Linked DNA regions of Elephas maximus indicus. The protein of the gene in region 1 interacts with the protein of each later gene in a biochemical or structural test. Links are inferred from orthologs where the notes say so. Each region holds a gene or a part of one and is shown in the gene's direction. Other genes may lie near its edges. The genes, in order: TJP1, CLDN1 and CLDN7.

Region 1 (3,745 bases):
TTTACATATGTGTGTATATATATATGTATATATACATAGACATATATATTGCTCACTTTGCATGGTAGTGTGGGATTCCATGAGTTTGAATGGATTCGGTGGCAGCTGGTAGATAAATCAACATAGATATATATATACACACACATCCCTATCTATATCTATAGATATAAATACAAAAAAACTTTAGAATAGATGAGGTTACAAATCATTACATCGTAATTATAAATTAAAAATTACTGTCATTCTTTTTTTTTTGTTATTCATTCTGGATGTGTACTGTTGGGATTCTTTTGGGGACAGTTAAAAGCAAGTTCCTATCAGCAGCTACGGTGCCCTGGTGGCACAGAGATTAAGTGCTTGGCTGCTAATGAAAAGGTCGGCTGTTCAAACCCACCTGCCGCTGGGCAGGAGAAAGATGTGGCAGTCTGCGCCGGTAAAGGTTAAAGCCTTAGAAACCCTATGGGACAGTTCTACTCCGTCCTATACGGTCGCTGTGAGAGAGAATTAGAGTCGACAGGAACGGGTTTGGTTTTTCTGTCAGCAGCTGAAAAAAACTGAAGCCCGAGGGGGCGCGGGGACGCCCCGGCCTCTGCCCGCAGCTCCAGGACGGGGCAAGGCGAGGCTGGCGGGCTGTGAGGCCGGCGCGCGCCGCTCCCTCTGTGCGCACCGGCGGGGCGCATCCGCAGGCCGCGCGGAGGACTCGCGAAGGCGGAGGGGGAGCGAGGCGGCGGCGAGGCCGGGAGCGGGAGGCCAGGCCACGCACGACAGCGCGGCGGGAGCGGGGCCCGGGCGCGCACGGCGGCGGGAGCGGGAGACCGACCACGCACGGAGGCGGGAGCGGGGCCCGAGCGCGCACGGAGGCGGGAGCGGCGGCGGCGGGAGCGGCGGGCACGCACGGCGGCGGCGGCGGCGGCGGCGGGACGGGAGCGGGGCCGGGCGCACAGCGCCGCGGCGGCGGGAGTGGCGGGGGCTGTGGCGGCGGCCGCGGCCGATGGCCCAGAGCTGATCTATGCGGCGCTTGGAGGGGCTGTGTCTGCGGCGGCGGCGGCGGCGGCGGGGCCCTGCCCGCGAGCGGAGCGGGGACAAGATGAAGTACCAGAAATACCTGACGGTGCTGCAGATGGCCATCGGCGTCACGCCGTCCAACCGCGGCAGCCTCCTGCCGCTCAAGAGGAAGCTGTGGTGAGCGCGGCGCGCGCGGGGGTGGCGGCGCCGGGGCAGTGGCCGCGCCGGGCGGGGGCCGGGCCGGGCCGGGCCGGGCAGCGAGGCCGCCGGCGGAGCGCGCAGGGCGCAGCAGCCATTTCGAAGCCCGGGGGCCGGGTGCCGCCGCCTCCCACGGCACCGGGGACATGTTCCGCCGCGACCCTCGGCTGTGCCCGGCGACACGTAGCGCCGCGCGTGGCCGGGAGGGGGCCGGGCCGGGCCCGGCCCCTCGGGGCGCTGGTCTCCCGCCTGGGGGTCGGCCCTTGGGTCTCGGTCCCAGCCAGTTCTGGCTCAGAATTTCAAGCCAGGCTTTCTTGGAGGCAGCGAAAATTTTGTTGTCACGTTATGCGCTTATTGTGATTTTTTCAAAGTCCATCTGCTGTTGGGTACATGGCAGAGGACAAGCTGGTCCCATGTAAACGGGAATAAATCGTGAGATTATCATTGCATTATCAGGGGCTATGCCTTATCGGCAGGAGTTGCAGTTCCTCGCCTGAAAACTATTATTGAGGTGACAGGAAAAGAAAGCCCATAAAGAAAAATGTCTGCAAGTTATACAGATGTGTGTCAGGTTGTGTGTTCTGTTTTATTGCCATTTAAATTATGTCACATGGAACCCCAGTGGCGTTCGAGGCATTACATTGATTTGAGATTTAGGTGCAAGGCATTATCGAAAAACAAGTAATCAAGTAAAAAGACTGTGAGTATATAAAAAAAAAAAATAGACAAGATTAAACTGATAATTTAAGGTTTTAGAAAAAAGGAACCAAGATTGCTTTTAGGCATTTGAGGAGCAATTCTGCTGTGTAAGACAACATGAAAGGAAGATTCGAGGTATATAAAGATACATCAGAAACCACACAACAACAAAGTGGTATAGTCGGTTCTGACTCATAGTGACCGTATAGGACAGGGTAGAACTGCCACATAGGGTTTCCAAGGAGCGGCTGGTGAATTCGAACTGCTGACCTTGTGGTTAGCAGCCGAGCTCTTAACCACCGCACCACCAGGGCTCCATAAAGATATTTGTGTAAAAGTACAGTATTTTACTTGTTTTTCATGTAATTGCCTTTCCCAGTACTAGACTGTTAGTTGCTTAAGGGCAGTGGGCCTTTTACCTGTTTATAGTTGTTAGCTGCTGTCAAGTTGGCGGGACTAGTGGCAACTCCGTGCACAAGTGATTCCATGCACCATGGATGTTGTAGGTCACACTGTTGTGGTCCATTGGGTTTTCGTTGGCTGATTTTCACAAGTAGATTGCCAGGCATTTCTTCCTAGTCTGTCTTAGTCTGGAAGTGCTGCCGTAACTTGTTCAGCATCATAGCAACACGAAAACCTGCACTGACAGATGGGTGGTGGCTGTGCATTGGTCAGGAATTGAACGTGGGTCTCCTTTTTTTCCCCCACAAGGACGATGAGAATTCTACCACTGAGGGAGCCATCACTGCCCCTTTCCGTTTGCTTAGTTCACTGCCAAACCCCCTGCAGAGATCCCCTGGTACAAAATAGCTTCTCAATAAATGTTTATTGAATAAATTAATTATTAGTCATACATGATCGAGAAAGAAAGTCAAGGAAATTTGCTTGCTTGATGTTATATTTAAAAATTAAAGTGTGGAATTAATATTTGAGGAGCTGTTAGGCATGAATATTAGCAGCAATTGGGCACAAAATGAGGAAGCTAAGTTTATTCGTTTTCATCATTGGAGCACTGCTTCTGTAAATACATTCCCAGAATATCGAGTTTGTGAAGAGAGGACACAATCAAGTGAAATCCGTGTAACTTTTATTCTGTGGAGATTCATATTTGAGGCACGCAGTGGACTAGGCCAGGGATAAAAACCAGGGCTTCGGATGTTCACTGGTTTAACCCCTGCTGAGAATTCGCGTTTAGCAAGTTCCCAGGAAGTTATACATAAGAATCACCTGGGGGGTATTGTTAAAATGTAGATTCTGATTCAGTATATCTGGGGTGAAACTGCAAATTCTCAACAGGGAACTTGTTAGAAATGCAAATTCTCAGCAGGAACAAACTGGTTGGAAGCCATGATAAAAACCATCTTTCTAAGAGATAGCTTGGAAAACGCCAGAGGATTTTGATGGACTTTTCCATAATCTTAGATGACCACTTCAGAATTTCTACTCAGTGTGAAATGGATATGCAAATGTTAGTCTAGTTTCTGCAGTGACAAAATGAAGCGCACACTCTACAAACACTCTCAGAGTGGGTGGTACTTTTAAACATAGCGTATAATCTTTATTTATTTATTTTTAAGTTGGAGGATATTGTGCTTGTTTATCTTTTAAACCCTCTGGAATTTTTTTTTCTAGATAATGTTTCCTTTTACTGGGTTGTAGCAACTGCATGGAGGAGAATTTGAGATGTAAGGCGCAATTACATGGCTAGAAAATATGAGGATTATGACTGCAGGGGGTACGTGGAAACCCTTAGCAGACATTAGCAATGTGTGTCAGAACTTGAAATGCATCCTGCTTATGCCAGTTTAGGTGCCTCGGTGGCACACATGGTTTGCACTTCTTT
Region 2 (3,745 bases), on another chromosome or scaffold:
AGGGGAAACTTGAGGCTCAATTAGATCAAAACCCAAGAGGGTGCCACAGCCAGTTACTGCAAAAGCCCCAGCCAGAACCCAGACTTCCTAAATCCCAGCCCAGACCTCATGATTCCAAGGGAAAAGATTTTTTAGATAACCTCACCTTTCATGAATTCTATCTGATAATTCACTAATAAATTCGCCTTTGGGTGGAGGTCACTGACCAGGCTCCTGTGATAATGAAGCTCTGCTCTAAGCCAAACTGCTTTGGGGAAAAAGCTTTGTGTGTGTGTAGAGGGGTGAGATGCATTTTTCTAAGCACCCAGACGGATTAAGGGCGGAGGTTCTGGTCATCTTGAAATGTGGTGGAAACCAGACGGGGCCGGGAATTCAAGTCCTGGAAGCGCTACTAGCGTGCTGTGTGATCTTACGAAAACCTGGTTTCCTCTCTGATCTCATTTTCCTGATCTATAAAATATAGGTCTTTTTATGACTCTTGCAGAGAGAGATTTGACATTCTAGGAGAAATCAGGATGGGAAGAAGAGGATAGAGGGAGAAAAGGAGAAGGGGAGCTGAAGGAAGGAGAGAGGTAGGGGGAGGGGAGGAAGGGCAGGCAAAAAGAAAATTTTTTTTAATAAGACACTGAAAAGAAGATTTCACATGTGCCGCTCTTGAGGTCTCTTTTTCATCTTTATGCATTTTTAGAGTTTACACGTCCAGGGTTAAGTTTTTGATACAGGTGGATTGATTGCGTGAGTCAGTGAGTGAATAAATGAATGAATGAAAAGCTGGAGAAGCATGCCAATAGGAAAGAAAAGACAGGGAGAGGAGAGAGCGCAGGAGCACACAGTGTCTAGTCCTGGAAGAGTTGTCCCCACACCGCAGCCGCAGGGCCCGCCTAGGGCGCAGCGGCCTCGTCCTGCCTGCGAGCCTCCCTTTCCCCGCCAGGGGGCGCTGCGCGGGGGCCGGGCCGGGCCGGGGGTGGGGCTGCTTTAAATTGCGGCGCCCGCAGTCCGGCTTCCCAGTCCCGGAGTCTGAGAGCGGGAGCATCCTGACTCCAGCGCCCACCTGGTGCCCTACCCCGCCCGGTACCCGGACCCTCTCCAGCGGCGGTGCCGAAAGCAGGGATCTCCGTAATAGCGGCTCCCCGGCGCGGCGCCGCCACCCTCGGAGCCCGCCTGCACACTTGCAAACTCTCCGCCTCCTCCACCTGCCTCCTGCGCCAGCGCGGGCGCCGAGCGAGCCATGGCCAACGCGGGGCTGCAGCTGCTGGGCTTCATCCTGGCCTTCCTGGGCTGGATTGGCGCCATCGTCAGCACCGCGCTGCCCCAGTGGAAGATTTACTCCTACGCCGGCGACAACATCGTCACCGCTCAAGCCATCTACGAGGGGCTGTGGATGTCCTGCGTGTCTCAGAGTACCGGGCAGATCCAGTGCAAAGTCTTTGACTCCTTGCTCAACCTGCCCAGTAAGTGCATCCCCCACCCCACCCACCCACCGCGCCGCCCGGAGACCCCAAGCCCATGGCCCCGTTACGGAGTAGTGGCTCTCAGCTCATTCTGTTGGGTGATTGTGTGTTTATCTGTCGTCAGTTACTCAGGTATTCTGATCTTGTGCCTTGTCGTGAGGAAGTGGACAGGACCCTGGTTTGGGAGAAGGGTGGCCCAGGGCTAAACTCTAGCTTTGCCTTTAACTCTCTGGACGACACCGTTCTCCTCTCTAAGAGTGGTTTTATCTTAAATTCGGATTAGGGGAAGGGGGTGGATTGAGAGGGTGGAGGACAAACTCCAATTTAAGCTCTTAGCATAATCAGATTCAATTTACACACATTCTCACATTGTGTGTAAATTGAAGAGTGGTAGGGTTGGAATAAAATTTTTAAAAAGGGATGGCTTGAAAACTTTGGAGGCTCAAATTGGTAAAAGGAAATAGATAATTCCAAAGCCTTAGATGATTTTTTTTTTAATGTTTAGAATGACTCTCCAGAGTAAAAGTCCCATCACAGTGTCTTCTGCTTCCATTTGTGGTTTATTATTTTGGTCCTTCTATTTCTAAGATCCGGTAAGGGTGAGGAGGACCTTTTGCATCCTCTCCCAAGACTTTTTTCCTTGAAGAAGCCTCTGAGATTCCCCCAAAGGGTTTAGCTCTCAAACTGGGCACCTTCAGAAGATGCAGGCTGGGTGGTGTTGAGAAGTTTGGGAGCAGGTGGAAAAGTCTGACAAGTTCTAAATACCTTCCCAATCACAGTATGAAAGGAGGGACAAAGGCGCTGAAGAAAAATGCAACAAAATGGATACAGGTGATGACAGTCCAGGCCAGCTGGGGGAGGGGAGGAACGTGGAGATGAGGAGGGGTTGCTTCTCCAAGTTTCTGCCCTCCATGAAGGACTTTCCTCTGTGAAGGATGTCTTCTCACTTCTATCAAGCTGGAAAGGACTGTGTAGCCTGGCGTATTTCTAAGGATGGTGTGGAGAGGGTCATAGGAGCTTTTTTCCTCTCTTTTTTAAAATAAAACTTTTTGAGTGCCACGTCAAGAAAGCCATTGAATGCCCTCTTCATTAGGTAATGACTATAGCTAAACTGTCTTAATAAATCGTATCCGTCCTCAGGCACCGTACATCTGTTACACTCTTCTAACTAACTTGACTAGCTCCCTCGGTCTTTGCCTACGTAAACAAGCAGTGCTCTACCAGCCCATCAAGTCCCTCTGAGTGCTAAGGGTGATGTGTGCAATCAGACTGCCCCAGAAAGTAAAACAACATGGCGATTGCTCAAGGTTACATTGGTTGCATTGTCCACCCCCTACTGAGGTGCACCTTTGAATAGTACATGTGGTTTTCTAAAAAGATGGGTCGTTTTGAGTTATAAAATAGATACGGTCTGAATCTGTCTAAACACTTGTGGAATTGGATCACTCTGTATGTGAGGACTGAGTACTGTCATTTCAGCTTTTCAAAGTTTCCATATCAGGGCTCCTATGTACCCAAAACTAACTTATACTTTTAGTAATTATGTGTTGGTTATTGTCCATCTGTGTTATGTTTACTCTTCTAACATGAACGTTTGGGAAATATTCATTGGATTTCCCCGTAGACAGTGTCAGAGACTGTACATTTTGGGTGCCATGTTGAGGGATTGGCAGATAGAGAAGGTTCGAAGGGAATTCTGGAGAAGCCTCGTTGTCAATTTTATTTCTTTGATCAAAGTTGTTTACTTTCAACATGTTTAGGTAGGTTTTCTTTTAATTTCCTTTCATGACTCAATGGAATCAGATTTATCTATGTCGTAAATGCTCAACCAAATCTTCCCTCCACATGGTAATGTGTTCACATGTTTTATTTTCGTTTGTTCCTAATTATACAGTTATTGCAGTTTTTAAAGCTATGGTAGAAGAGCTATACTTTCCCTTTCCGTCTCCCCCTCCCCCTGCCCCCTACACGTACGTGCTTGCAGATTTCTCGCTGATGGGTTTGATTTTTTTTTTCCCCTTTTCCTCCTGATCAGATTTCTTCTTTTTATTTTGGTTAAGCCAGGGTTTATCCAAGGACTGAGGCCTTTCTCTCAAAACTCATTCCCAGGAGAGAGCTGTGAGTCACAGGTTCACTCCCCCAACCTACCAGTGACTCACTGGCTGCCTTTTGATGGAGCCCAGAGAACTGTCTCGGTTTCCTCACTTGAGCAGTGGTGCTCACACCCACCTGGTGTAGAGACCGGGGATGTTGATTTACTGGTGGTTTTGGTATAATTCTGTGATGTCTGGAGG
Region 3 (3,745 bases), on another chromosome or scaffold:
GATTAGCAATGAATGAGAGAGGCAAGAAGAAATAGAGATGCTTGGAAGGGATGTGTGGACAAAGAATGGGGTAATTGCTTGGGAAGAGTGAGAAAAAGAACAGGGTGTGAGTTGGGGACCTGGGGGGTGATTCAAAGGCCCTATTAGAGAGTTCAAATATTAGGTAGGACATCAACTTGAGGAGGTCCAATAATGAACACAAATAGAGGGCTCCTGGCTCAGCCTGAAGGAAAGAAATGTGTGTGGTGGGGGAGGGGAGACGGTGGGGACTGGTTTCAAAAGACTCCAAGAAAGAGGAAGGACAGGTGTGGCCAATACTCTGAGCTAGGCTTTTCCTTTATGCTTTCTATCCTGTGCTGTGCGGGTTTCTGCTAGAAGGAACCTTGGTGCAAGGAGCAGGAGGAGGACCAGAGCCAGGCCCGAAGGTAGTGTGGAGAGGGATCCAGGTACTAAGTCATGTCAGGGATGGGAATGGGGGGCCTGAAAGGCGCGGGTTGTTGGGGAGCCATGCCCGGAAGTAGGGTGTCTGTTGGAAGGCTCCGTCACGGACTACAAGGGACATCGAAGAGGAGTGCTGAGGTGGTGGCGCTGAGGTGGTGGCGCTGAGCATGGAGATCCTAAAGAAGGTGCAGAAGCGGGGACTTCTGAGGACTTGGGGCCAGGGCCCCTGAATGTGTGATCGCTAAGGGAGGAGACTGAAGAAAAAGGGAAAAAGCAGAGGGTGGGGAGGAAAGCAGGGAGGGACAAAGACCATTTAGACCAGAAACCCAGAGTCCTGGTGGGGAGGAGGTGGAGTCGAAACTGAAGAGGTCGTCCCCCCGCTCTGGCTCCGCGGCTTCCCAGGTGCACCTGTTGGGGTGAGGGAAAGGGGCATATGGGTCGCTAAGGGAAGTCTAGTCCGGAGGGGCTGATTTTGAGTTTGGAATTCCGAAGAAGTGCTGCCTCCTCCCCACCTCCGGTCAAAGCCGGGCAAGCGAAGGGGCGTGACCCTGATACTCAGGTTTCTTCCTCTTTACCTGGGCTAGGAGGGGTGGGGGCCAGAACTTCCGGTTCAGGTGAGTGTCCCTTCGGTGACGTCAGGTCACCCTCGGCCGCCCCTCCGGTCCCGCCTCTCCCGTCCCGCGCACCCAGTGCCCGCGGGGGCGCGGCCCCGACGCCCTACATATACTCAGGTGCGCCGCACCTGTCCGCCCGCACCTGCCTGCCTACCGCAGAGGAGCCTCTTCCGCGCACCGCAGCCTGGGGCCGACAGCCCGGGGTATTTTGGGGCCTGCCAGAACCCGAGACCGCGCCCATACAGCCCTTCCACCTTGTTTGGGCAGGGTCGCCCGGGCAGCACCGGCGGGAACCGCCCGACCTTAGCAGACCGCTTTTGTTTGGAGCCACTCCTCCAGGCGTAGCCTGTCCTCTCTTCTGCGAGACCCTCGCCCTGCCTGAGGAATCGATTTGTGCTCACTTTGGGTGACAAGATTTGCTGTCACCGACCAAAAACTTTTGGTATCTTTGGGTGACTTAAAACTCTATCCCACCTTGCCTTTGTGTGGGGTTGCCCCTCAAGTTCTGTTTACTGCAGGGTCGCCCTCCCGGAGCCCCGTCTTTTCTGAGGGGGGGAAATGGCCAATTCGGGCCTGCAGTTGCTGGGCTTTTCCTTGGCTCTTGTGGGCTGGGTGGGCCTGGTGGCGTGCACAGCCATCCCGCAGTGGCAGATGAGCTCGTACGCGGGCGACAACATCATCACGTCCCAGGCCATGTACAAGGGGCTGTGGATGGAATGCGTCACGCAGAGCACCGGCTTGATGAGCTGTAAAATGTACGACTCGATGCTCTCTCTGTCCGGTAAGGCCGTGGGACCGACGGGGCAGACGCGCCCAGGGCCGAGGTCGGGGGTGGGGTGCGGGGCAGGGCCGAGGCCCAGCGGTCGGGGCCCCGGGGTCGCCGGGGAGCGGGCGAGGCGCTGAAGAGGCAGAAGCGGCCGGCGAGGCTAGGGTGCCGGGCGGGAGCTGGCCGGCCGCACCCGAGCCGCTCCTGCTGCCAGAGCCCTCCTCGTCCGGCCCGGGCCCCCTCGCGGCTGCCGCCCGCGGCCCAACCCTTCGTGGGGGCCGGCGCCTGAGGCCGCCCCCTGCCCAGCCGCTGTAGCCAGGCCGTGGCCTCCGCCGCCTCCCGCCCATTTCTCTCGAACAAAAGGGGGTTTGGGTCGAAGGCCTGGGAGCCGCGCGGCCTGGCAGGCGTGGGCCGCCGCCTGCGGCCTCTAATCTTATCGGCCGATTAGCCGAAGCCACAAACCCGGTGGCCTCGATAGCGGGCTCGGAGCGGGGCCGCGGCCCGGGACCTGCGGCGGTGCGCGGGCTCGGGTCGCCGCCCGGCTCCTCCTCGCAGCCCCGGCTCACCCTTCCCCCTCGCCGGGGCAGTTTCACCGAAACCCTGGGCCCCGGGCGGCTCCCTGAGAGGAGAGGGCGGGGCGGGAGCAGGAAGGCCGCGGCGCCGGGAGGGCGGGACCCAGCCGGCCGTGGTCTGGGGCTTGGCCGCCGCGAGGCCCCAGGCCGGCCGCGGGACCCGAGCGTCCGCCAGACGAGGGTCCAGGGGTTAGTGGGCGCGGCCGGCGGCGCGAAGGCTGGGGCCGCCCGATAGCCGCCCGCATCACCAGCAATGACGGCGTCCCTCCCTCTTCCCTGCAGCGGCCTTGCAGGCCACTAGAGCTCTAATGGTGGTATCGCTGGTGCTGGGCTTCTTGGCCATGTTCGTGGCCACGATGGGCATGAAGTGCACGCGCTGTGGAGGAGACGACAAAGTGAAGAAGGCCCGTATAGCCATGGCGGGAGGCATCGTTTTCATCGTGGCAGGTGAGCCACAGTACCGAGGCCTGTCTGCCCAAAGGTCCTCCTCTCCCCAGTCCCAGAGGAACAAGGGTGAGCAGAGCCGTGGGTCGAGGGCTCGCTACATCTTAATCTCCCATTTTGTCTCCAGGTCTGGCTGCCTTAATAGCTTGCTCCTGGTACGGCCATCAGATTGTCGCAGACTTTTATAACTCCCTGATCCCCGTGAATTCTAAGTAAGTTTGGGAGCCCTGCCTCCTAAAGGGACAGGTCTGGGGTCCTGGAGTGGGGAGGAGGGCAGAGGCAGACTGGGTTTCTAACTCCAATTCCCTCTCTTCACAGGTACGAGTTTGGTTCTGCTATCTTTATTGGCTGGGCAGGGTCAGCTCTGGTCCTTCTGGGGGGTGCACTGCTGTCTTGCTCCTGTCCAGGCAGTGAGAGCAAAACTGGGTACCGGGCGCCCCGCTCCTACCCTAAATCCAACTCTGCCAAAGAGTATGTGTGACCTGGGGCAGAGAGCTCAGCCTGTGTGTGGGCAGGGTGCCCAACAAAGGCCCTGTGGTCATCCCAGCCCTGCTGCACACAAAGTATGGTTCTCTGAGGGGGGTGGGTTGGGTGAGGGGAAAAAAAGGGGGGCAGGGTGTGCTTTTTGTACAGTAATAAAAATGTTTTGGAAAACACGCCTGTTTTTTTTCCCTTCAGGGTCTCTTCTTCCTGCCCAGATTCTAGCAGGGAGCCTGAAGCCTAAGTGCACTTACTTGTAGCTCTGTTCAAAAATGCTTATTGGGCATTATTGATGTGCAAGGCTGTCCCTGCCCCTCCTCCCTTTCCTTTTCACTGTAATTCAGGCCCCAATACCTTGGCTATTGACTCTAAAGACCAAGGGGCTTGGCTTCTCTTAACGGTTCCCAGCCTCCAGTTTCCCCCAGTCA

What was found.
Region 2: the proteins of TJP1 (region 1) and CLDN1 form a complex in vitro, tested with the Homo sapiens proteins (2 studies listed by BioGRID and IntAct, with this or other methods). The link is inferred for Elephas maximus indicus from reciprocal best matches to the Homo sapiens genes TJP1 and CLDN1.
Region 3: the proteins of TJP1 (region 1) and CLDN7 form a complex in vitro, tested with the Homo sapiens proteins (2 studies listed by BioGRID and IntAct, with this or other methods). The link is inferred for Elephas maximus indicus from reciprocal best matches to the Homo sapiens genes TJP1 and CLDN7.

Annotation. Positions count from the first base shown.
Region 1 is NC_064831.1:94,005,833-94,009,577, forward strand, and holds the start of TJP1 (tight junction protein ZO-1), read left to right. Parts: upstream 1-994; 5' UTR 995-1,009; coding exon 1,010-1,182; intron 1,183-3,745. UniProt on the Homo sapiens protein: TJP1, TJP2, and TJP3 are closely related scaffolding proteins that link tight junction (TJ) transmembrane proteins such as claudins, junctional adhesion molecules, and occludin to the actin cytoskeleton.
Region 2 is NC_064819.1:24,727,183-24,730,927, forward strand, and holds the start of CLDN1 (claudin-1), read left to right. Parts: upstream 1-1,006; 5' UTR 1,007-1,228; coding exon 1,229-1,451; intron 1,452-3,745.
Region 3 is NC_064837.1:13,597,275-13,601,019, forward strand, and holds CLDN7 (claudin-7), read left to right. Parts: upstream 1-1,133; 5' UTR 1,134-1,613; coding exon 1,614-1,836; intron 1,837-2,675; coding exon 2,676-2,840; intron 2,841-2,964; coding exon 2,965-3,049; intron 3,050-3,155; coding exon 3,156-3,318; 3' UTR 3,319-3,423; downstream 3,424-3,745. UniProt on the Homo sapiens protein: Plays a major role in tight junction-specific obliteration of the intercellular space.